Linked DNA regions of Mus musculus. The protein of the gene in region 3 interacts with the protein of the main gene of each other region in a pairwise test. Links are inferred from orthologs where the notes say so. Each region holds a gene or a part of one and is shown on either strand. Other genes may lie near its edges. The genes, in order: Pex12, Pex11b, Pex19, Pex16 and Pex10.

Region 1 (4,709 bases), on a different chromosome or scaffold from region 3:
GAGCAACAAGTGCTCTCACCTGCCCATCATCTCTCCAGCCTTCCCACCTAGAGTTTAAGTTCCTTTTGTTTTAAAATAGCCTGCTTCTGTTCTTTGCAACTAAAAACCTTAATTGATGCAAATGTTTCATTTTCTACCTGTTTTAGCTATTTCTTAGCTGTGTGTTTTTGCTATTCACTTAAAAGCATAAACAGCTAGAGAGATGCTCAGTGGGCTGGAGAGATGGCTCAGTGGGCTGGAGAGGTGGCTCAGTGGGCTGGAGAGGTGGCTCAGTGGGCTGGAGAGATGGCTCAGTGGGCTGGAGAGGTGGCTCAGTGGGCTGGAGAGGTGGCTTGGTGGGCTGGAGAGATGGCTCAGTGGTTAACAGCACTGGTTGCTCTCGCAGAGGACCTGACTTTGGTTCCCAGCACACACATGGTCTGTAACTCCAGTTCCAGAGAATCAAACATACTTTTTTGACCTTTGCAGTTACCAGGCTGCATGTGGCACATACATATATGTGCCAGCAAATACTAGTACAACCTAAAAATCTTTTTAAAATTAAGACCCCATTGGTTAGCATGCGATATTTACCAGATGCTTTATGTAGTTCTCGGGTCCTTAAAACTCAAGGCTGAGCACGAAAGCCAACTTGAATGCTAGCCAAGGATATGTACATAAACCTTAAGACTCTTAAGCTGAAGCCGGGCGTTGGTGGCGCATGCCTTTAATCCCAGCACTCGGGAGGCAGAGGCAGGCGGATTTCTGAGTTCGAGATCAGCCTGGTCTACAGAGTGAGTTCCAGATCAGCCAAGGGCTACACAGAGAAACCCTGTCTCGAAAAAAAAAACCAAAAATCAAAAAAACTTTTAAGCTGAAACAAACATTATTTAAAACAAAAATCTTTAATACTTTTTAGAAATTCAACAATTGCACTTCTGACAGTGACTTTAGTGAAGTATGGATCATACTTTAGAACTATAAAAAAACTTCAAAATTTAAATTGAAACTAAAACCAATCCCTTTATAAGGTTCTCATTATACAAACCAATTGCCCACTTTTATACCCTAAGGTCCTCTAGAGCTGAATGCTACTATTCAGTTCGAGAATCATAACGATCCCTGCGCTGCTAATACTGCTAATACCTACTGAGCTGGAGGGCAGGAATCAATTTCATCTAGCAGAATGTGCCTAGAGCTATAACTTAATTTTACACATGGATGACAAGTTAAGCTGTCTGTAAGTAAGTAAAAAAGTAGCCGTCCTAAATTCTGGTAGGCAAGAATGAATCTTTTGTCATTTTAGTAAAACTTGCTGATAACTGACTAACACTCGGGAAGGTGGCCGACTTTGAGCTAAGCACCACCTGGCAGAAAGGACCTGGCTTGATCTCCCATGGCAACCGGCGTCAGGCAGGGACCCCAGCTCGGCACAGAGGCTCGAGTACCGCCCTCCAGGAAGCTTCGCTCAGAGCTAACCAGGAACAGAATGCACTCACTGCACTAACCCGTCGCCTCGTCGTCAGGGGGGCGGAAACGGAAGTCCCAGTTGGTCATAGAGTTCCCGAGTTCCGGCTCAGGGCTACATTCGATGCTAGAGCGCCTGTCTTCCGCCCGCCGTGTGGAGGTCCTCGGAGCTTCTGTTTCCGGGTACGGTTTCGGTCACAAAGCCGAGACCTCCTTTCGCAGGTGGCGTCACGGGTCCTCTGCTCCGTGCCCGAGGTCAGCAAGCAAGGACGGGCGCTTCTCAGGCAGCCGCCGGAGCCGGGCCTCGCAGCTCCCGGACTGCGGTTCGAGCGACACGTTTCTTGGCCCACTCCCCGCCTCCGAGTCACGCTCTGCCCTGTGAGGTGCAGCATTTGACAAGTCATTCCCCAGACCCCACGTGCCACGTCCCCAGCTCCGGAGTTAACAGTCCTTACTTTGAGACTCCCTCTCCTCCGCCTCCATATAAGCTCCCCCCACCCACCCCCGTTGATTTTTCACTCCTGTAAAATTCAATTTTTAGTTTCAGGTGCCATGCAGAAGGACTAAGACTCAGCACCCGTTTGATACAAAAACAAGTTCATGCTCACTAGAGTGTTCGTGGGAAAAGTGAATCCCAGTTCACACAAGACACAATGGCTGAGTATGGGGCTCACATCACAACTGCTTCAGTGGCGGACGACCAGCCATCCATCTTTGAGGTGGTAGCACAGGACAGTTTAATGACAGCAGTGAGACCCGCTCTTCAGCATGTGGTCAAGGTAAGGTATTACTTCTCTGAATCGTTTCAGGGACGACTGGATAAAACTCCAAACATTTTACTAGTAACCCTAAGTTTGCAATGATCGCCATGTGTCATTTGTATCCAGGACTTAATGGGCATCCATTCAAAGAGCTCTGTACTCCATTCCTATGACCTCAGGAACTCAGACTATACCCCAAAAGCCAATTACTTAAGCCAGGTGTATTGAATTTAAAAGGAAAAGGCTGATGTGAATACAAACTGAAGACTGTAATAAAATGTTTTTGCATCAGGTTCTTGCAGAATCAAATCCTGCGCACTATGGCTTCCTCTGGCGGTGGTTTGATGAAATCTTCACTCTGCTAGACTTCCTGCTCCAGCAGCATTATCTTTCTAGAACTAGTGCCTCATTTTCTGAACACTTTTATGGCTTAAAGCGGATTGTGGCAGGGAGCTCGCCGCATCTTCAGAGACCGGCCAGTGCTGGTCTTCCCAAGGAACACCTCTGGAAATCTGCCATGTTCCTTGTCCTTCTTCCCTATCTGAAAGTGAAGCTAGAGAAGCTGGCTTCTAGCTTGAGAGAAGAAGACGAATACTCTATTCACCCCCCTTCTTCTCGCTGGAAACGATTCTACAGAGCCTTTCTGGCGGCCTACCCTTTTGTTAACATGGCCTGGGAAGGCTGGTTTCTTACACAACAACTGCGTTACATCTTGGGGAAAGCTGAGCATCACTCTCCCCTGCTGAAACTGGCTGGAGTTCGGTTAGCTCGACTGACAGCTCAGGACATGCAAGCTATCAAACAGAGACTGGTTGAAGCCAGTGCAATGCAGGAGCCCGTCAGAAGGTAAGGCCATTCCTAAAACCCCTTTATTAACAAAATTTGAAAATTTGTACCAATCATCCGGTCTACCCTAGCTATTAAGTCACAGAAGTTATTCCTCACATCCATAAAGCATGGGCCACCATCCTGGTGACCTCTCTCATAATAGGCACACCTTTGTGCATGCTTGGTGTATGTAAGAGCCCCATGCGTGGTATTTGCTTTGTGTTATCTTATGCCTCATCACAACCTGAATTAAATGCAGTGGCTTCATTTAACAGTTGAGGGAACCACTAGCCAGAAGATGGCAGAGCAAAGATTCAAGGCAAAGCGATATAATTAATTCTAAAGACTTCTTACCAAGGATGCAACATTACCTTTGTGGAGTGTTAATTCTCTCACAAGTTCAACATGTATGCATCCCAGTGTTGATAAGTTACTTTTTAGGTAAACTGCTTCTTCTGGATGGATTATCTATCTTCCATTTAAAAATTCTCTAAAGTTAAGTATCTGATGCCTTTCTCAAATCAAAACCTAAGTTTCTGTTGTTAAAAACAGCTTGGGGGCCGGGCAGTGGTGGCACACACCTTTAATCCCAGCACTTGGGAGGCAGAGGCAGGCGGATTTCTGAGTTCCAGACCAGCCTGGTCTACAAAGTGAGTTCCAGGACGGCCAGGGCTACACACAGAAACCCTGTCTCGAAAAACAAAAACAAACAAACAAAGAAGTTTGGGGTACAGCAGGAGAAATGGCACCGTGGTTATGTAAATGGCATGTACTGCTCTTCCAGAGGAACAGAGATCAACCCCCAGAACCCATATGTGGCAGTTTACAACTGCCTATAACTTTAGGTCACCTGGCCCAAACGGCACCTGCATGCATTTGGTGTGTGTACAAACAAGCAGACACAAACATAAATCTTTTAAAAACCAGAACACCAGAGTTTAGATATACACTGGCTTACAACAGACCCTCCAGCACATCAAGTGTGGAACTGCACCTATAGACATTACTCTGTGACCACATACAAATAAACTCTTTTCTTTGCCTCTTGCTCTCCTTTCCCAACAGCGTTGGTGAGAAGATAAAGTCAGCTCTGAAGAAAGCTGTGGGAGGTGTTGCCTTATCCCTCTCGACTGGCCTCTCTGTGGGTGTATTCTTCCTGCAGTTTCTTGACTGGTGGTACTCTTCTGAGAACCAAGAAGCCATCAAATCACTGACTGCCCTGCCCACTCCACCACCACCTGTACACCTAGACTACAACTCTGATTCTCCCCTCTTACCCAAAATGAAAACAGTGTGCCCACTCTGTCGTAAAACTCGAGTGAATGATACGGTTCTTGCCACCTCTGGCTATGTATTCTGTTACCGCTGTGTGTTTAATTATGTGAGGAGTCACCAAGCCTGTCCCATTACAGGGTATCCAACAGAAGTCCAGCATCTAATTAAACTCTACTCTCCAGAGAACTGAAAGAGCTTAGTGCATTATCTCACCACTCAAGTTCTATACTCTAAGGCCATGAGACGGTTTTAGTATGGCAGACAACAGTGATACTTCCCTGATTCATAACTACATTAACTTTAAGTAGTTACATGGGTTTCTTTAAAAGGATATATCCATTCGATCCTAACCTTTTGGTTTGCTCTCTACCAAGCTGGTTAAGCAGGAGAATCAGGATT
Region 2 (4,865 bases), on a different chromosome or scaffold from region 3:
TGGGAAATCAAACTCAGGTCTTCATGCTTATAGAAGAACTGTGTTATCTCAGTCCTATGGGACCCCGACCCCATTATCGCAAAAGAAAAAGAAGCTAGACATGGTATCACATGCCTGTAATGCTGTCCTAGAACCCGGGCACCTAAAGCAGGAGAATCCTAAGTTTCAGGCAAGACTGGGCTACATAGTGGGACCTACCTAAAAACAAAACAAAACAACAAACAACAAAAACACCACACAAGATGACTCAGCAGGAAAAAGGCATTGTCACCAAATGTGATGACCTGAGTTCAATCTTGAGATCTAAGTGGTGGAAGGAGAGAACCAACCCTTTCAAAGTGTCCTCCATACAGAGTGGTAATGCCACATCCCTCAGAGAAACCCTGTCTTGAAAAATTAAAAAAACAACAAAAAAAGTAAACAAATAATTTACAGTCAGTTCATCCATGGAGGATCAACTTCAGGATCTTTCCCCCTGCTCGCCCATCCAATTCTACCCAAACCCACAGCTGCTCAAGTCCCTTAGATAAAGTGGTATTGCATCTATACATACTCCACACAATTCTCTGTATCCACCTCGATTGTTTATAATATTTCATACAATATATGTGCAATGTTTAAGGAATAACGACACAAACAATTTTCATGTTTAATTCAGATGCACTTTCCCCTCAACATTTCCAGCCTGTGGTTGCTTGAATCAGCAGATGTGGGAACAATGGGCGTGAAAAGTCATTGTACACTCAAAAAAAAAAAAAAAATCCTGAGACCCCTCTGTCTCATATATAGCAGGTTATGGACCAGGAGGATGGAAGTGGAGCTGGGCCAGGAGGTGGAAGCTCTTGCCACGCAAACCTAATGGCTTGAGTTTTATTCTCAACCTGAGTTTGATACCTGGAACTCACAGTAGGAGAAAACCAGCAACTGAAAGCTGTTGTCTGACCTACAGATGTGCAGCACCTACAATAGTAACTTTTATTAATGTAAATATATGGGTCTAGAGTGATGGTTTAGTGGTTAAAAGCACTGGCTGCTCTTCCCTGGGACCTGGGTTTTGATTCCCAGAGCCCACATGACAGCTCACAACCATCTAGAACTACAATTCTGATGCCCTCTTTTGGCCTCTGCCAGCACCAGGCACACAAATGGTACACAGGCATGCAGGCAAAATACCCATATGTGTAAAGCAAAATGTTTACTATTACAAGCGATGCAAGCTTTGCAAGCTTTGCAGAATGAAGGCTACACATAGTCTTGTAGGATAAAAGGAAAACCAACCTGAATGAACGCTGTGCCCACTTTTCCTGGTCCACTCGGGGAGCTAGCCCAGACTTTCCAGCCCATAGGACATTGTCACAGGCAAAGTACAAGGCTCGGTTGAGGTGACTGACAGTGATGCAGAATCTCAGAACGACATCTGACAGGTGCACAGCCCTTTTGGCTGACTCCAGGGCATCTGTTGAGTTCCCCAGGCGTAGCACTTGTAGAGATTAACAAGGGAAAGCAAGGGTTTGAAGTCCAGAGGCAGGGGTGGGGGTGGGGAAGAGAAAAATAAAAGTTGAGCAAGCAATAATAACATACAGGAAGAAAGAGTAAAAATAATTTGTTCTTTTTCTTAACTTCCAATCGTAATTCATTTTTGTGCCAGTTTAGTGTTCTCGTGCCGTGTTTTTCCAATCAGTGCTAACTTCCTTATACCTGTTCTCTGACCTCAACTGGAGGCATGCAGGAGAGTGGCAAATGATGGCGAACTGGCAGAACGGGAGGAGAGGCCATGGGCTACCAGCTGAGGATGATAAGAGGAAGGTCTGCTTTACTTACACTTTCGTCCGAGGCTCAGATGACCCTCCAGTTGTCGAATCTGTTTCTGTAACTCGGGACTAGCCCCATGTCTCTGCAAAGCATGGCCGAGAAGGGAACAGGCATACTGGGCGGCCCTGGAGGGGAGGACACGTAGAGTAAGGGACAGGCCTCCCTAACCCCTCTGCCAACCATATCCTCCGTGGGCTGGTGAGGCGGTTAAGAGCACTTGCTCTTGCAGGGGACCCGGGTTCCACTCCCAGCACCCACACGGTGGCTCATAACTGTCTGTAACTCTAGTTCCAGGGATCCACCACTCTCTTCTGTCCTTTGCAGGCACTAGACACACATGTGGTACACATACATTCTTGCAGACCAAACACTCAGACAAATAATAATTGGTAAACAAAAACCCCACCAGGGACACTTCCTCGGTTTCACACCAATATCTTTCCATTTTTTTCCTCAAAGCCAGGGGAAGGGAAAGACATGCGAGGAAAATAAAGCCTAGAAGATGGTGGAGAGCACTCTTTGGAGTTAAGAGACTAAGAGTTTTGAAAATGATGAGGCCTAAAGTTTAGGGCCAGTAAGCAGCCCGGGGTTCATCGCAGACGTCCACACTGCGATTTTATACATGAAACACGACAGAGGAAGATCTAGTTGAAGGGCAGATTAGTTCTCCGGGTAGGTAAACTAAGAGATAGATTAAGGTTCTTGGACTGATGGAAACCGAAGAAGAGCCGAGATAGCGAGGCTCCTAGGTCACAACTGGTGAGAGGACGCAGAACCGAGAGGATCGCCCCTCGTGCCACCACAGCAGCGAGGAAACTGTTGCTCTCTGTGGACACAGTAAACCTAGGTGGCCTCCCCGCTGGCCCACTCATGCCTCAGTTTCCCCATCTTTCCCTTGAGCAGGGAAGAATCATCTCACAACCGGCTGCGGAGTACGCCTCCGGGGCCGCGCGGGCCCCCGTAGCCACAGCTGACCCTTAGGGACCCCGTAGCGCGCCCGTCGCCTCGCGGGACCCTGCTCTGCCCTCCCGCCCGCGCTCCTCCGTCGGCCGCACCTACACAGCCGCTCCCGGGCTTGGCTCTGAGCACTGAAGCGGACCCAGGCGTCCATGACAGCGGCAGCCCGGGCCCACGGCGCAGCGGCCCGCCTGCTTCCAGCCCCAAGTCACGCCTCCTGGGCGAGCAACGGGGCTTCGCGAGGGACAAACGGCGGCAGGAAAGCCAAGCAGCCGGAGCCGGCCTTGAAGTGGAATTTCAGGACGCGAAGCGAGATCGTGGGTGCATTTCCGGCAGCTCACCCTTCTCTGGGATGGTCTCCGGCTTTTAAGCACGCCCCTAGGAGCACATTCTGCTTTAAATTCTCAGCAGCAAGGGGTGGGGCCTGCGGGAGCCAGGAGGCGCTGTAGGTTGCCGCCAAGGCGCACACGCCACCCGCCCCAAACGCCCAGAACAGCAGAAGCCTGTCCTAGACTATTTGTCCTAGGGAAAGCGGATGTAATGAGATGCCGCTTGACAACGATGGTCTGCTATACTCAAAGATTGGTGCCTAGCCCAATTGTCATCAGAGAGGCTTCACACAGCAACTGGTAGAAACAAAGGCACAGACCCACAGCCAAAAGTTAGGCAGACCTTGGAGAATTTTGCATAAGACAAGGGGAAGGACTGTACAAGAAAATGCACAGAGTCAAGTAAACTGGGCCCATAGGGGCTCAGACTGAACTGCTACAGGGAGCCTGCATGAGACTGCTTCGCACATGCTATAGTTGTGTAGTTTGGTCTTCTTGTGGGACTTCTAACAGCGGGAACAGGGGCTGTCTCTGATTCTGCGGGACCCTTTCCTCCTGCTGTGTTGCCTCATGAAAGACTTAATCAAAGAAGGTGCCTAGTCTTACTGCAACTTAATATACCATGCTGTTGATACCTAACGGAGACCTGCCTTCTTCTGAAGAGAAATGAAGTGGATGGGGAGAGGCAGTAGGGGGGTAAACTCCAGGGGATCCAACACCCTTCTCAAACCTCAGCAGGTACCAGGCATGAACATGGTACACAAGGAAAACACTTTTACACCTTTACACATTATTTAAAAAAAAAAAAAAAAAAAAAAGCGAAGCCGGGCATGGTGGCACCCGCCTTTAATCCCAACACTTGGGAGGCAGAGGCAGGCAAATTTCTGAATTTGAGACCAGCCTGGTCTACAGAGTGAGTTCCAGGACAGCCAGAACTGCACAGAGAAACCCTGTCTTGAAAAACAAAACAAAAACAAACAAACAAAAAAAACTTGCCTGTAGCAGCAATAGCCTGACTATAGTTGTGAGGAGGAAAAAAACCAAAACAACAAAAAACCTACAATATCACAAACAAGATCTCTACAACCACTATAAAAAGAAATCTAGGGCTGGAGTTGGCTCTGCTGCTTTTCTACTGGCTGCTTTTCCAGAAGACAGATTGAATCCCCCATCCACATAGCAGCTCACAGCATCTGTAACTTCTGTTCCAGACGCTCTGGAGCCCTGTTCTAATCTTCTCAGGCACCAGGAACACAGATAGTATATAAACATACATGCAGGCAAAAACCTCATTAGATATTTAAACCAAAACCACTGTGTAGTGGTGGTGCATGCCTTTGATACCAGCCTTGGGAGGAAGAGGCAGGTAGATCTTTCTTTGTGAGTTCCAGACCAGCCTGGAGAAAGAAAGTGGGGTGGGGGTGAGGGAGGAGTCTGGAGAGATGGCTCAGTGGTTAAGGGTACAGTCTGCTCTTCCAGCTCACAACTGTTTCTAACTCCAATATATCTGACATCCTCACTTTACTTTTTTTGTTTTTTTTCGAGACAGGGTTTCTCTGTATAGCCCCGGCTGTCCTGGAACTCACTTTGTAGACCAAGCTGGCCTTGAACTCAGAAATCTGCCTGCCTCTGCCTCCTCTGAGTGCTGGGATTAAAGGCGTGTACCAGCCAAAATTTGAAAATTTTATGGTATAAAGAATGACATTAGGAATAGTAAGAAATTGCCTTTTTTTAAAGATTTATTTATTATTATATGTAAGTACACTG
Region 3 (4,889 bases):
ATGGCTCCAGGCCCCCTCCCCACCCAGCATCTGTTTTGTGAGACTGCTTAGGAAGCACTGAGAGCGGCCTCCCCTCACTCCTTCCCCCTTACCTGCAGCTCAGTGGCGTTTTTGGCCAGGCCACTTAACGTCTCCTTTAGGCAAGAAGTAAACTCTTGCTGAGAACTTGCATCGCTGCCTGGGAGACAAAAGACCCAGGGTTAGCTAGGATCCTCACTGTCAGCTTGTCTACACCCATCTAGTTACCAGCCTGGATGGAGAGCATTTACTAGCAAGCTACTACCACTTCCAAATCTTAGTTGTTCTGTAGTTACCTTCACGGGCATGCCATGAATCTATATTGGTACTGTGTTAGCTGTTCTCCACAGTAACACTCCTTTAAAAGGGTTGCTTTGGGAGAATCGTATTGATTTGTGAGGATTTGTGAGGTACGGTCTCACTCTGTAGTTCCAGCTGTTGTAAAACTCACCATGCAGATCATGTTGGCCTCAAACTCATAGAGATTCGTCTACCTCTGCTTCTGATGTGCTGGGATTGAATAAGCCACTACACCTGGCTGGAATAATCTTTTTTCATTACTTTCCAAAATATCTTACCTTTTTCCTTTTAGTAAGCTAGATTCCCACAGCTCTTTCTCTTGCCTTACACCCCCCCACCCCCAGCCATGGCTGTGACATCATGATGGTCATCAATTTTACAATCCTGGTACTCTCAATCAGTTAAGAGGCCTGTCCAGTATTATGTTTGGGGTTTCCTCACCCACTCTCCCAGCTGCCTCTGAGAGCTTCTGGAACTGCTCCACCAGATGGGGCTCTTCCTCAGCCAGCTCCTTCATTGCCTTCTCAAACTCCGCAGTAGCTTGGGAAGCCAGCTCACTGTCAAACAGTTCCTGGAAAAATTTCTCTTGGGAGGCGAAGAGAGCATCCTGCAAGGGTGGGGTGGGGTGGGGAGGGAGACAACATTTGCCTCCTATAGCATCACCCTGGGGCTAGCCGCTTAAACGAGCTCATATTGGGAAATGAAACATCTCCCCTCCCACGAGCACCTCCACTGAACATTCCATCTACCTCTTCTCCGGAGGGCAGCAAAGACTGGCCACTGAAGGTCTAATATGAGGTAGCATACAAAGCCAACCACTTAAAACCGCTCTTTCCTCTTTCCTCGTTAGCCCTCCGTAAAACCACAGGTCCTCGTTTCATAGGAACTGAGGCCTGGAAGAACACTCAGCAGTGTGAGGCAAAGGCACCCTCTCAGCCACCCCTCTGGCCCAGAGGGCCCCCCATCCCTGCTCTGAGCTGCATGGCCATCCTCCCTCTCCCTTAAGTGGGGGAATTGATACTTTGGCAGTATCTCCTGGCGCTCTCTTCTGGGGTCCTGAAGCGTCGGGAGCCGAGATGGTCGGAGCATGTTCTGGGGAGGGTTTGGCTTTGTCGAAATCATCAAGAGCACCTTCGGAGACAAGAGAAATCATCAAGAGCACCTTCGGAGACAAGAGACGGACGTGGTGGCGATGTTGAGGGTGGAAAGGGCTAGACAGCCGTGTGATTTGAAACAAACTCTTAGGAAAATAATGATACAAAGTGCTGGCTTTCCTGGACTTCTCTCTCTTTTTCTGGTGTCTCTTCTGCCTGGACTACTGGCCAATAGGCTTCCCACCTTCCTTGAGAACCATCTAGTTTGTTGTGACCAGTTGGGAAGGAAACCCTTTTACACAGAACCAGTGTTCATCTCAGAATTAGGAGGAGAGAATTAAATAAAAGCTGTGCAAAGAAATCTCTATATGCACACTATAAAATTCCCTTAAAAAAAAAAAAAAACCCTGCTGGGTCGTGGTGGCGCACGCCTTTAATCCCAGCACTCAGGAGGCAGAGGCAGGCAGATTTCTGAGTTCGAGGCCAGCCTGGTCTACAGAGTGAGTTCCAGGACAGCCAAGGCTACACAGAGAAACCCTGCCTTGAAAAACCAAACCAACCAACCAAACAAACAAAAACCTACACATTTCATCTAACATGAAGAAGAGGGGAGAGAGAGCCTTATTTCTTGGAATTCACTCTGAGGCCTTAGCTAATATCGTCTGTTGAGGAAGCACAGAATATACCACCCGGCTTTCCACCGTTCTGACTACTAGGATACATTCGACAAGAAGGTATTAACTCTTAAATAATGCTCCAATTTAGATCGCCCTTAACAGGCACCTATAGCCTCCTTGGCCTCATATGCAGTAAGCCTGGGCCAGGCCAGTCACTGGGCACTCCTCACTTCATCTGTTCATTTTCTACCTGCTTATATCGCTGTGACTGAGCAAGAGATAAAAGGTTCACCTCTGCCCTGAAAAGCCTGTGTTGTCACCATCACTCTGCCTGCCAGGACTAGGGAAAGGGCACTGGCCTCACTGGCGCAGGAAACGGGAGTGGAGTGCAAGGCCAAGAAAGAGATGAAGGTCCACCATCTTTTCAGGAAGAGGAGACCTTTTCCCCTGGGGCTGGCTCACTTTGTTTTCTCCAAAGGATAAATAAGGGATGTCAGGCATTGTGGTGCCATGCGAGAATGCGGAGGAAGGGACTGGAAAAATCACAAGTTCAGGGCCACTCTACAGTACTCAATGAGTGTGAGGTCAGCCTAAAACTACACGAGACAGTCTCTCAACATCACACTAATTTTAAAAGGAGACTTCTTTGACTACTCGCACGAAAGAACTAAGGGTCTGGTAAAAGAATGAGGAAAGACTGTGCGGTAAAAAGGCGTTTCGGGTTAAGAAAGATACTATCATGGACATATGGACCTTTGGAGCTTAAAGATTATTTTGTTCTGTGAATCCTGCTACTGAAAGGAGAGGCGATTTTAATAATTTACAGAAGGCGATCCTGGTGGGTCCAGCCTGTGATCTCTGTACTCCCAGTGGCGGAGGCTGAAAGACTGCCGCGAGTTCCAGATCAGCCTGGGATACCGAGTGAGAGAGCCTTGCCTCAACAACAATCCGACAATCGAAAGCAAGAGAAGTTTGTAAGGGGCTCGTGAAACAGCTCTTTACGGTTAGTGTTCCCCTTCGCAGGGAGATGTGCGGTTTGGACACAGCCAGCTAATAAAGAGGGCCGGGGTCGAACTCAGACCACCTCCCCCGCTGACCACTGAAGAGATTCTCCCGCCCCGCTCAGAAACCTCAAGTTCCTCTAACCCCCACGATGGATCCTCTCCCCGATACTTCTGGTCTTTCCCATCGTGCACTCTTACTTTCCAGAAGCTCCTCCAGTTCCCGGTCGTCTTCGACCCCAACACCGCAACCTTCCTCAGCAGCCGCCATCTTACTGCCTCCGACTTGCCGTAGGAGGTGGAACCACTGGCGCCACCACATGCCCCGCCCCAACCCCGCCCCCATGACTTGAGCAGCCAATAATATCGTTCTACCGTGCAGGACCGCCATTTTTAAAGGGACAGGAGACTGGGTTTGTTTTTGTTTTTGTTTTTTTTCTTGGGTTGGGCCTCAAACCTAGGTTCTTGCACGTATTAAGCAAGCACTCGGCTACTGGAGCTACAGAGCCACAGCGGTTTGCCTTGAACTAGATAGATTGCTCAAGCTGGTCCAGAAATCGGGGTCTCCCTTCCCCGTCTCCACTTCCAAACTACTTGACCCATGAGGCCCAGCTGTATTGTGGGGGCGGGTCAGAAGGGGTGGGAGGGTTTATTGCGTTTTGCTTGCCCCATCTTTAACCTGGAATCTTTAATCTGGGTTTTGTTTTCAGGCAGGGTTTTCTAATCCTACTGTCTCCACCTCCCAAGGACAGAGATTACAGCACAGGGCTCAGCTAAAATACGAAGCTATTAAACGAGCAATTTTTCGCTTGAGACAGGATTGCCAAATTGAAGCAACCTTGGTTTCATCCTCAAAGCACACGTGGTAGGAGAGATGTCTATCATGTGCTGGCTCTGACCTCCGAATATGCTCCTTGACATATACACAAAACAGATAAACAAAGATCATCCAATTTATTTTTAGCGTATAATGAGCATCTACTGTTGTATACAATCGTGCTGAGCACAGTGAAATCTACAAGTGGATCAGGGATGGTCCTACCTGTAGAGGTTGACTGGAGATAGAATTGGAAACACAGATGTTACTTAAGCAGATTAAAAAACAAGCATTCTTTCTTTGAATCATTTCTTTCAGTTTTCTTTGTGTGTTGGGGGGATTGTCTTGTTTTTGTTTTATCGAGAATGTTCTGTATGTAGCCTTGGCTTTCCTGGAACTCTGTAGACCAGGCTGGCCTTGAACGAAAAAAATACTCTTGACTCTGCCTCGAGGGTGGTGGCATTAAATGCGTGTACCACCACACCTGTCTCTCTTTTCTATTCAGCTGGCAAGAAGTGGCAAATCCCTTTGGAGCTAGAGCAATAGGTGGTTGGCAGCCACCAGATGTGGGTGCTGGGAACTAACCTGAGTCCTCTGCAAGAACAGTCTTTGCTCTAAACAGCTAAGCCATCTCTTTAACCACCATGATATCTTTTTTTTTTTTTTTTGAGACAGCATCTTGCTCTTTAGCCAATTGTTCTGCTTTAACCTTCCAAGAATCCGAATTATGGCTGTGAATTGCTGTGCCAGATTCTTGCCTGACCTTGAAGGAAGAATGTATAAAACTTAAGAAAATATTCCCGTAATATACACATTTTTGAGAAAGCAGTCTTAGTTTGAGGATTATATTTAAGAAAGCAACTCTTAAATCTGAAAACACTAAAGTCCTGTGCTCTTTGGAGCAGCTTTTCCTCCTCAGTCAGGCACACTCCCCCCCCCCCACACACACACACAATGTATGTTCCAGTTTACTCATTGCAGCAATGCTGATAATCAGCATAAATAACCCAGATACTATGAGGAAAACCTAAACACACAACAC
Region 4 (4,192 bases), on a different chromosome or scaffold from region 3:
GGTTAAGGCTGAGACTATGAGGGCATCTTGGATGAGGGGAGACCTGAGGGACAGGTGCAGGCAGTGTTCTCCAAAGGCCATTGGCAGCACTTCTGGGAACAGTCCACACAAGGACAGGAGGGAGGGAGGGAGGTGTGACAGCTTAGCCCTATGGTCCCACAATGAGACTGCCATTGAGTTTGAAGCCCACAAGTCTCTTGTCTAAAAGGGAAGGGCAGAAGAAGAGAGGAAAGGACAGGGAGTATGGACAGAAGAGTTGAGGCCCACGCAGTCCTGCCACACCCTCCTCTGTCTTCTCCAAGTAGCCTGCATGGCTCCAGCAATCTGTCTTCCTGAGCCAGTCAGCCTGTGGAGAAGTGTCCTGGAGAGAAACTCCAGCACACACCCAAACTCTGCCCATTCCCTTACAGACTCAGGGTCACTCTATCTCCTGCGGTAGAGAAGAGCATCTCCTAGGGCTTGCTGGTCAGCCCTGCAGGGGAAAGGATAAACGGGGGCCCTGGCTACAAGGAATGTTAGGTAGACTACGGTAATCCATGGCCCAGTTCAGCTTGTCTTCACCAGGGACTAGTGAGATGGAAGCATCTAGTCAGGCAGCTGAGGCAAACGGTGACCCATGCCGGAGAAGGCTAAGTGACAGCAGCTCCCTGGGCCTGATGGAGATCTCCTGCTCTGTGACGAGGAGCAGAATGCAGTGGCTTCCTTCTAGGAGGATGTGAAGAGGAACAGCTGTGGTGACTGGGCTGAAGAGCTGAGCTGCAGGAGAGGAGCTGCTGATGACACAGAGCCACATGCTGGACACTACCAGAGTCAGGTTTATTAGAGAAGAGGGGCCTGGGGGAACTGGAGGGCTGAGGGGCCCTGCCCAGAGCAGCAGAGCACAGCACATGGCCCTCTGCCCCAGCTCCCTCATGGCTGTCAGCCCCAACTGTAGAAATAGATTTTCTGCCAGGAGGGCAAGTAGTCCATGAGCGGCCCTGCAATGGAGGGAAGGGGGATGGGGGGCGGGGTTAGAGGAGCCAGGCCCCTGGCCCCAGGCCCTGCAATGGAGGGAAGCGGGGTTAGAGGAGCCAGGCCCCTGGCCCTGCCCTGTGCCCTGTTCTGACACTGCCACCAGCAGAGCAGCTCGAGACCACACCTCCTGCCTCTGATGCTATGTTAGAGATTAGGTCACAGACAAGGTGCCCAGGTTGCCAGGGAACATGCTCAGCATGTCTTCCTTTATGGCTGGGTACCCAGGCAAGCCCCAAGGCCCCTCCTTGCCTTACCAGATAAGTCTGCCTCCAAATATGCAGGTCCCAAAGGCAGGAGGAGGCTTGCCAACCTGATATGGCCTAATAATCCAACACAGGCACTGTTCTGGCCACAGCCCCACCTCCATGGGCCACCTTCGGCCCTGGCACTGTCACCTCCCAGTACTGATTTCAGGTTCACTCCTGACTGCCCATTAATCACACCAAAAAAGGACAGAGCAAACATTAAAACGGGCCCTTTGTGCCTCAGGGACATCCCACACCACGTTGTCCTACCACACTTACTTGCCACCAGACCCACGCCAGGGATGTGGTCTGTAAGCAGCTGGAGCAGGAAGAGGATCTTGGCTCTGATTGGGGAAAAGAACAGCATGCTGAGGGGCAGGCGGGGCGGCTCCCTGCTGACCAGGAGCTAAAGGCCTTTACTGAGCACCAGGCATCTCAGAAAACAAGGGACTAGGACCCAACGAAAGGCTAGACCACCGGAAGTCTGCTTGTCCACAGCTGCACCCCATGTTCCCAGCTGTCAGATTGTCAGCTGGCAGACGTCACTCATACCCCTCCCCTCCTCTCTTTTCTACCTTCCTACCATTGGTATTCAACAACAGTGCTTCCTAGGGGCCACTCAGAGCAAGGTCTGTACCCTGGAAGTTTCCGGAGGGAAGGAAGCTGGTGAAAGAGCAGAACTACACAGAAACCTCACCAGCCAATGCTCAGAGTAGGCGGGGTCTGGGAAGGTCCCCTCTGCCTCAGAGAGAGGCTTAAGATAGGGGATTTCCACAGGAGAACTTGGGGCGGGTTGGAGATGTGGTTCATGTGCTTAGCATTGAGGCCTGCGGCTTGAACCCCAGCAGTCCTCGGGGGGACAAGACCTAACATCACGTCATTATATATCAAGCACAGGCAAACACATTCGGTTACCGCATGCTATAAAACCTATCAGCCGGGCCCCAACACTGTCCCTGTTTACAGGCGAGGACATGAGCCCAGCTCCTGCTCAGACACCCCACCATATGTCATAGTGCCCTGGCAGGCCTTTTTCAGAGATTTCTCTGGCTAATGCAGGGGCTCTGATCCTCAAAGTTGATCAGTGTTGGGTGGGCCCAGCAGTAACAGTCTAGTGGAGGCCTGCTTAGTTGCCCAGCCCCTTTGAAGCATAGCGCCTGCTCTGCGAAGTGGATGTCCCATGGAGAAAAGAACTGGAGAGGGGCAGTCTGCACCAACTGTGCCCTGCAGATCTTGTACCCTGCTGTCAGCAGTCTCTCAACACCAAGTATGAAAATTCACACTGGCCTGTCCCCTTTGAGGGCAGGCCATGTGGCTCTGGAGGCTAAATAGCACCAGAGCCAGCAGTTACTCAGCAGACCCCAGCCCTCTCCATGCAGCACGGAATACCCTGGTGATGGGAGGAAGGCTATCCTTACTCAGAGAAGCGGTCATAGAACGGTGAGCGTAGCAGGTAGTATAGCAGCAGGATTGTGCGACGCCTCAGTTCTAGCCGCTCCCTCCGGGTCAAGTTCTTCCTGTCACTCAGGAGACTCAGGCTGTAGGGGAAGGGACATAGGGACAAGGATGACCTATGACTCTGAGAAAGAAAAAGCCACACAGCAAGCAGAGAGCCCCATGGAACTCCATATCCTCACCCATTCTCACCTAGTCATATCTACCACACCAGACAGTAGCCAGGGTGTCCACGATCGCTGACCCCATAAGCCCAGGCTGAGCACTGACGGTCAAGATGTCAAGGATATCTGCAGTGCAGGGTCCAGCTCAGCTCCTCCCCAGCCCGCCACCAGCACAGCTAAGGATACAGTGCAGCAGGGGCCGGGCGATGTACAAAGACTCTGCAATGGTCTCCTGCAACCCCAGAGGTGTTGGGGGTGTGCTCAGTTCCTCCTGCTGCTGTTTCTGCCGAATTTCCCGCTGCTGAGGGGCTCCCCAGTACCGTGAGTGCAGGGATGGGCCTAGAATATAAAGACAAGGTCAGTGAGCCAGGAGCCAGAGTGGGTGCTGACAGAAGCCAGTCCTACGGGCTCACACTGACCTCAGCACCTAGGTGCCCAGTCCAGCTACATCTTCCACTTACTGTTCTGGAGGGTTCGCACCACTCTGTGTGACCGTTTCCCCACATATGATGGCTCCTGGCTGCCCGGATTGTGGTCACCATCTAGCAGGCATAAACAGGACATAATGTAAGAGGGACACATTCCTAGCAGAGCCTGCAGAGAACATGTGTACAGTGAATGCTTGAGGATCTACAGAGCACAAGAGCCTGGCCTCAGGCAGCAGCTGAACTAAGGGAATCACACCCAGAGACCGTGGTTTGGCAAAAATCTTTCCATAGAGGGAAGCACTCTGGCACCTACCCTGGCCCAGGAAGAGGCCATCCTCACGCACAGTCAGTCAACCAAGAGCCTAAAGATACTAAAGGAAGGATAGGAGGGCCCACCCCATCAACATCTGTCGGGGCTATAGGACTGTGAGGCTGCATTCTCTCGATCTCTTGTGGTCAAGTTCACATCACTGTCCCCTTTCAAAATAAGGGGGAAGACTGGAGGCTGACGGAGGGGCCCAGAGCAGCCAGGTGCCCTGCCTCTTGAGGATACGGTTCATGATACAGAACCAGGCCCAAGACAATTTTGGCAGGACACCTACCTTGTGCTGGTGCGCTATCCCTAGTTCCTGTAGCCTACAACAGAAAAGAAGGACTCTTGCACACGTCCCAAGTTCAGGGATGGGAGTGAAGCTCAGTGGTAGAGCACTCGACTCGCATGTACAAGACACTGGGTTTGACCGGCAGGAGCTCAAACAAATAAACTCCCAAGTTTAAGTTCTCATTTTCTCCAAACCTTGCCTTCTTCTTTCTTATAGAATAAATAAATGGGAGTACTGAGCTGACAGGAAATGTGCTGCAGAGCCTCAGAGCAGTCCCACACCCC
Region 5 (4,651 bases), on a different chromosome or scaffold from region 3:
TGAGGAGAGCAACAATGTACTCACAAACATAAAAATAAAGAGTTTTTTAGGAGCTGGTGAGATGGGTAAGAGCACCCGATTGCTCTTCCGAAGGTCCGGAGTTCAAATCCCAGCAACCACATGGTGGCTCACAACCATCCTTAACGAGATTTGACTCCCTCTTCTGGAGTGTCTGAAGACAGCTACAGTGTACTTACGTATAAATAAATAAATCTTTAAGAAAAAAAAAAAAAAAAAGAAAACAGAGTGGCCAGAGCTGGCAAACGACATCAGGCAGGACAACAAAACCCACAGCGTGTATGACTTTAGAATTAGTTGTTGAGCTGGGCAGTGGTGGCTCACACCTTTAATCCCAGCACTTGGGAGGTAGAGACAGGCAGATTTCTGAGTTTGAGGCCAGCCTGGTCTACAAAGTGAGTTCCAGGACATCCAGGGCTACACAGAGAAACAGGAGCCTGGCCTTTCTGTCCTCCATCCTTGAAGCAGGAGGAAGAGTTTACAAGGAGAAAGTCACAAGGCTCAGTCTTAGGATCCTTGTGCTTCAGAAGGCAAGGGGTGGGAGGTGGCAAGGGCCGTATGCCCCTTCCGTAAGCAAGAGCTCTCGCTCTACCTCCACCGCAGAGTTCTGGAACCCTGAAACACTGAAGCAAAGGGGGACTCCAGGCCACATGGTCATCCGAGAATCCAGAGAACTGATCTACAATGATGTCACTACTCATCTTGCCCTTCCACTTTCTCTCCTCACTGAAAAGCCTCTTGTTTCCCTGATCTGTGCAGGATCTGTTTGGGTTAACAAGCTCTAGCAGCCCAAGCTAGTAGAAAAGATGGGCTGATAGCTCCACCTGCTGGCCATCTTGGGTTTTGTCCCATAGGAAGAATCCTTGAGAGCCCACAAAGGAAGAACTTGAGGATCAAGGCACCGCTGTGCCTAGGATTTAAGCCCACGGAGAGAGACGCTTACTTAGGCCGTATCCCTGAGAACAACAGATACTTGAATAGTGTTTCTGGTCTTGTTCCCCATGGCTGAGAGAAGAGAATGCAAAAAAGCAGTCGCGTGTAAGGAGCAGTCCAGGCGGGGACACTTAGAACAGGCCATACCCCATGGTTATGGTAGAAATGAGCTTCCAAGTTTGAAAAGTCTTCCAGCACAAGCGGCCTTGGGCCTTCAGAGAATCTACATTTCAAACTGTCACATTTGATTTGGCTAGAAGTTCATGCCTCTGCATGAGCCGTGACTGCCTCCTAGCAGTGGTCAAAGGTGCTATCTGGGATTGCCCAACCCAAGCTGAAGAAACCAGGGCATGGGCAGGGAGGAACTCCAACAACTGGAGCCTTCAGCAGTCCGTTGGAATCACGTGGCTATCCCAAAAGATCCACTTTTGCAGCCCAGAGACACGTACCTCCTGCCAGAAAACTGAACCTGAATCAGGCCAAAAACACATCTGCGAGGCTGAGCTTTCTCGGGGGTCCTACCCACTAGGTATCTACCTCCTCCCTGTCATTACCCGCCACTTCACTGTGCCGCTTCACCCTCCAAGCACAGACCACACCCCTCCCCGGGTAGCCCCACCCCTATGTCGTGGACACGCCCACTACTCCGCCTCCACAGATGTCACGCCTAGGCTCCGCCTTCGCCCGCGTGGTGTTCGCAGCCTCAGCCCCACGACGGACGCACGTCGAGCGTCACAGGCCCCGCCCACGAGGTGCGCAGGCGCGGTGCGAGCTCTGCGATTCGGGCCATGGCGCGGGCGGGTGCCCCTGAAGTGATCCGGGCAGCGCAGAAGGACGAGTACTACCTGGGAGGCCTGCGGAGCGCGGCGGGTGAAGCGCTGCACAGCCTAGCGGGTGAGCGTTCCGGGCACCCAGACAGGCGGCAGCTCCAGAGTTTGCTTGGAAAGCGGGGATCAAAACAGAGGTACACACTGCTGACCACATTGCAGGTCTCTGCTTTAGTGTTTCTCAAGCATTTGCCCATTTATTCTCCAGACGCCCCTACAGGGTGGACCTAACGTCATTACTCTCATAGGTAGACACGTGGATCACACAGGCAGGGATTTGGGATTTCAGAGAGCCGAGGTTTGATACTAAACAGGTCGCCTCTGGCTTATGTTGTTAGCACTACCTAGACTTTCCTGGGCTCCATGTCTCTAGGACAGTACCTGACTCAAGACAGTTACAGTCGGGGCTTCTTAAGAGGCGGTCTTCGTCTCGGAGACATTCCGGTCACCAAGGGCAGCAGAGGAGGTGAAGGGAGAGACGAGTTGTTGAGGGTCGTCTTAGGAGTGACTTGACTTGGACTTTACCTGCCCTTCGGGAGTGACAGGGTTTCTCTGTGTAGCCCTGGCTGTCCTGGAACTCACTCTGGTCAGTCTGGACTCGAAATCTCTGCCTCCCAAATGCTGGGATTAAAGGCGTGTGCCACCACTACCCGGCTGGGAGTCATCTTAAGAGAACCACTTCACCTCTCTAGAGCTAATATTTTTCTTCTCTCAGGTGCAAAGAAATGGCTGGAATGGAGGAAAGAGATCGAGTTGCTCTCGGACATAGCCTACTTTGGCCTCACCACAATTGCAGGTAGCTGTCTGTGCTCGGCAGGTCCTGGGCACTGAGGGGCCCACAACCCACCCAGGTCTGGAGGGGATGCTTGAAGGCTCCTGGAAATCACCTGCATTAGTCTCTGTTTCCGGGAAGGAAGATACTGGCCAGAGGGCACTCACTGCCCCAGACTTTCTCTCAGCAGGATGGGCTTTTCCATTTATGGGGTACGAGGCAGATAAAAAGGAAGAGGCTATCGAGTGGGGGGAAGGGTACGAGCAGGGTCATGGTGAGACACATGGAAAGATCACAAGGTACTCCACAGGGCTGGCCTCAGGAACAGGAAGTCAGGATTCATCGTCTGCATGGTGGAGTACTAGAAGCTAGCTGCAAGCCATGGGTAGGCTTGGGGGCTTTTTATTCTGACTCCATGTGACAGCGTCAGGTAAGCAGTGGTATGTATGCCTGATACTTAGGACTCAGCCATCATCTAGAAGGTAGAAAGCCACAAGATCGGATCCCATCACTTGGACAGGGGTATGAGTTCAGCAGAGGAAGGACTGGAAAACAGAATAAAGACTTAAGGGAGTAGGAACCAACAGGAGATGCAAGGCCCATTCCAGAGTGGCCGTCTCTGTGACATGGTGAAATCACAGCAAGGCCACAGTGGGTTTAACAAGAAGTTGTGCTGGCCTTGGCTAGGTCTCAGGGTGACTGGTGAGGCTGGAGGGGGGACGACGACACAGGCTGGCCCGGAAACTTGTCCCTGGACCCTCATCACTGTGTATTAATCCTCAGGCTACCAGACCCTTGGGGAGGAGTACGTTGGGATCATCCAAGTGGACCCATCCCAGCAGCGTGTGCCCTCCAGGCTCCGCCGTGCAGCGCTGGTTGCACTGCATGCTGTCTTGCCCTACCTGCTAGACAAGGCACTGCTGCCCCTGGAGCAGGAGCTGCAAGCCGATGGCGATGCTCCCCGGGCTTCACAGGGCAGTCTGCTACCTGGAGGACGCAGCCGATCAGGGGCACGGCGCTGGGTGCGTCACCACGCAGCCACCCTGACTGAACAACAGAGGAAGGCCCTCCAGCGGGCAGTCTTCATCCTGAGACAGGGCTTCGCCTGCCTCCATCGGCTCCACGTGGCTTGGTTTTATATTCATGGTACCTTCTACCACCTGGCCAAGAGACTAGCAGGGATCACGTATGTAAGTAGCCATGCCAAGGGGACTGATATTCAGGCAGGGATCCTCTGAGCAGCATACTTGGGGACCCATGCTGACATGATCGCAGCCAAGTGTTCTGCTTCCAAGTTGCAATCGAAATTCTGTACTTGGGAAAGAGCGGAGTTCAGTTTTATTTTCCAAGAAAGCCCAGGAAAAGGAAAAGAAATCCAGTTCCCACAGACTGAAGGTGGCAGCAGACTTGGGTGCGTGGGCGGGTGACTGAGTGGCCAGGTCTGGCCTCGGCAGAGGGCCTGTGGCTGTGTCCATTTCACTGTTTGGAGAAGTGTGTGGAGTGCAGGTTCTAGCCCAGAGGCTGGCCTTCCCATGCATCCCTGCCAGCAGAGGGCCCTGTTCATCACCATCCAGAGCCCTAACAGAAAGGCAAGATCTGAGGGTTTGGTCCTAGAGTGAGTACATCGCCTCACCACAGCGCTGGCCACACAACAGTCCATACTGACCTTGTTGTTGCCTCTGGCAGTCCCCTGCCTCAACCCTAGTTTCCTACCAGTGCCCTTGTATCCTGTCACACCAAAGACCTCGCCCTGGTATCACCTCCATCCTCACCACCTACCTCACCTGTCAGGGGATCAAATGCCACCTCTCCCCTCTCCCTCCAGCCAGTGCGCTCCTCCCACACTCACTTATTATAGACACACCCATAGTCTGGTCTCAGGCCTTAACTTCCTTCCATACTGCCAGATAAAGCAAAACCTGCCCAAGCAGTCATCTAGTTTAGCAGATGTGCCTCCTTTCCCAGTAGCTGCTGAATGCTGGGCACTGGGTTTTGCTGTAGGGCTTGCAGTTTTCCTGTTCCAGCCCAAGGCACGATGTAACCTGGTGTCTTCATTTCCCTGCCAGTGGGAAGGCAGAAGTGGAAGGCAGCATAGTTTTGT

The links.
Region 1: the proteins of Pex19 (region 3) and Pex12 interact in a two-hybrid assay, tested with the Homo sapiens proteins (4 studies listed by BioGRID and IntAct, with this or other methods). The link is inferred for Mus musculus from reciprocal best matches to the Homo sapiens genes PEX19 and PEX12.
Region 2: the proteins of Pex19 (region 3) and Pex11b interact in binary tests that used the Homo sapiens proteins (3 or more experiments, as listed by UniProt). The link is inferred for Mus musculus from reciprocal best matches to the Homo sapiens genes PEX19 and PEX11B.
Region 4: the proteins of Pex19 (region 3) and Pex16 interact in binary tests that used the Homo sapiens proteins (3 or more experiments, as listed by UniProt). The link is inferred for Mus musculus from reciprocal best matches to the Homo sapiens genes PEX19 and PEX16.
Region 5: the proteins of Pex19 (region 3) and Pex10 interact in a two-hybrid assay, tested with the Homo sapiens proteins (4 studies listed by BioGRID and IntAct, with this or other methods). The link is inferred for Mus musculus from reciprocal best matches to the Homo sapiens genes PEX19 and PEX10.

Annotation. Positions count from the first base shown.
Region 1 is NC_000077.6:83,295,832-83,300,540, reverse strand, and holds the start of Pex12 (peroxisome assembly protein 12), read left to right. Parts: upstream 1-1,563; 5' UTR 1,564-1,829; intron 1,830-1,987; 5' UTR 1,988-2,099; coding exon 2,100-2,225; intron 2,226-2,499; coding exon 2,500-3,053; intron 3,054-4,100; coding exon 4,101-4,500; 3' UTR 4,501-4,709. UniProt on the Homo sapiens protein: Component of a retrotranslocation channel required for peroxisome organization by mediating export of the PEX5 receptor from peroxisomes to the cytosol, thereby promoting PEX5 recycling.
Region 2 is NC_000069.6:96,633,746-96,638,610, reverse strand, and holds the start of Pex11b (peroxisomal membrane protein 11B), read right to left. Parts: upstream 3,182-4,865; 5' UTR 2,924-3,181; coding exon 2,868-2,923; intron 2,765-2,867; exon of another isoform or gene 2,701-2,764; coding exon of another isoform or gene 2,687-2,700; intron 1,938-2,686; coding exon 1,822-1,937; intron 1,481-1,821; coding exon 1,279-1,480; intron 1-1,278. UniProt on the Homo sapiens protein: Involved in peroxisomal proliferation. May regulate peroxisome division by recruiting the dynamin-related GTPase DNM1L to the peroxisomal membrane. Promotes membrane protrusion and elongation on the peroxisomal surface.
Region 3 is NC_000067.6:172,125,191-172,130,079, reverse strand, and holds the start of Pex19 (peroxisomal biogenesis factor 19), read right to left. Parts: upstream 3,326-4,889; 5' UTR 3,302-3,325; coding exon 3,232-3,301; intron 1,450-3,231; coding exon 1,340-1,449; intron 926-1,339; coding exon 760-925; intron 179-759; coding exon 93-178; intron 1-92. UniProt on the Homo sapiens protein: Necessary for early peroxisomal biogenesis. Acts both as a cytosolic chaperone and as an import receptor for peroxisomal membrane proteins (PMPs).
Region 4 is NC_000068.7:92,377,821-92,382,012, reverse strand, and holds the end of Pex16 (peroxisomal biogenesis factor 16), read right to left. Parts: intron 3,421-4,192; coding exon 3,340-3,420; intron 3,218-3,339; coding exon 3,065-3,217; intron 2,980-3,064; coding exon 2,907-2,979; intron 2,798-2,906; coding exon 2,678-2,797; intron 1,604-2,677; coding exon 1,539-1,603; intron 978-1,538; coding exon 919-977; 3' UTR 793-918; downstream 1-792. UniProt on the Homo sapiens protein: Required for peroxisome membrane biogenesis. May play a role in early stages of peroxisome assembly. Can recruit other peroxisomal proteins, such as PEX3 and PMP34, to de novo peroxisomes derived from the endoplasmic reticulum (ER).
Region 5 is NC_000070.6:155,065,330-155,069,980, forward strand, and holds the start of Pex10 (peroxisome biogenesis factor 10), read left to right. Parts: upstream 1-1,700; 5' UTR 1,701-1,739; coding exon 1,740-1,845; intron 1,846-2,493; coding exon 2,494-2,574; intron 2,575-3,333; coding exon 3,334-3,740; intron 3,741-4,651.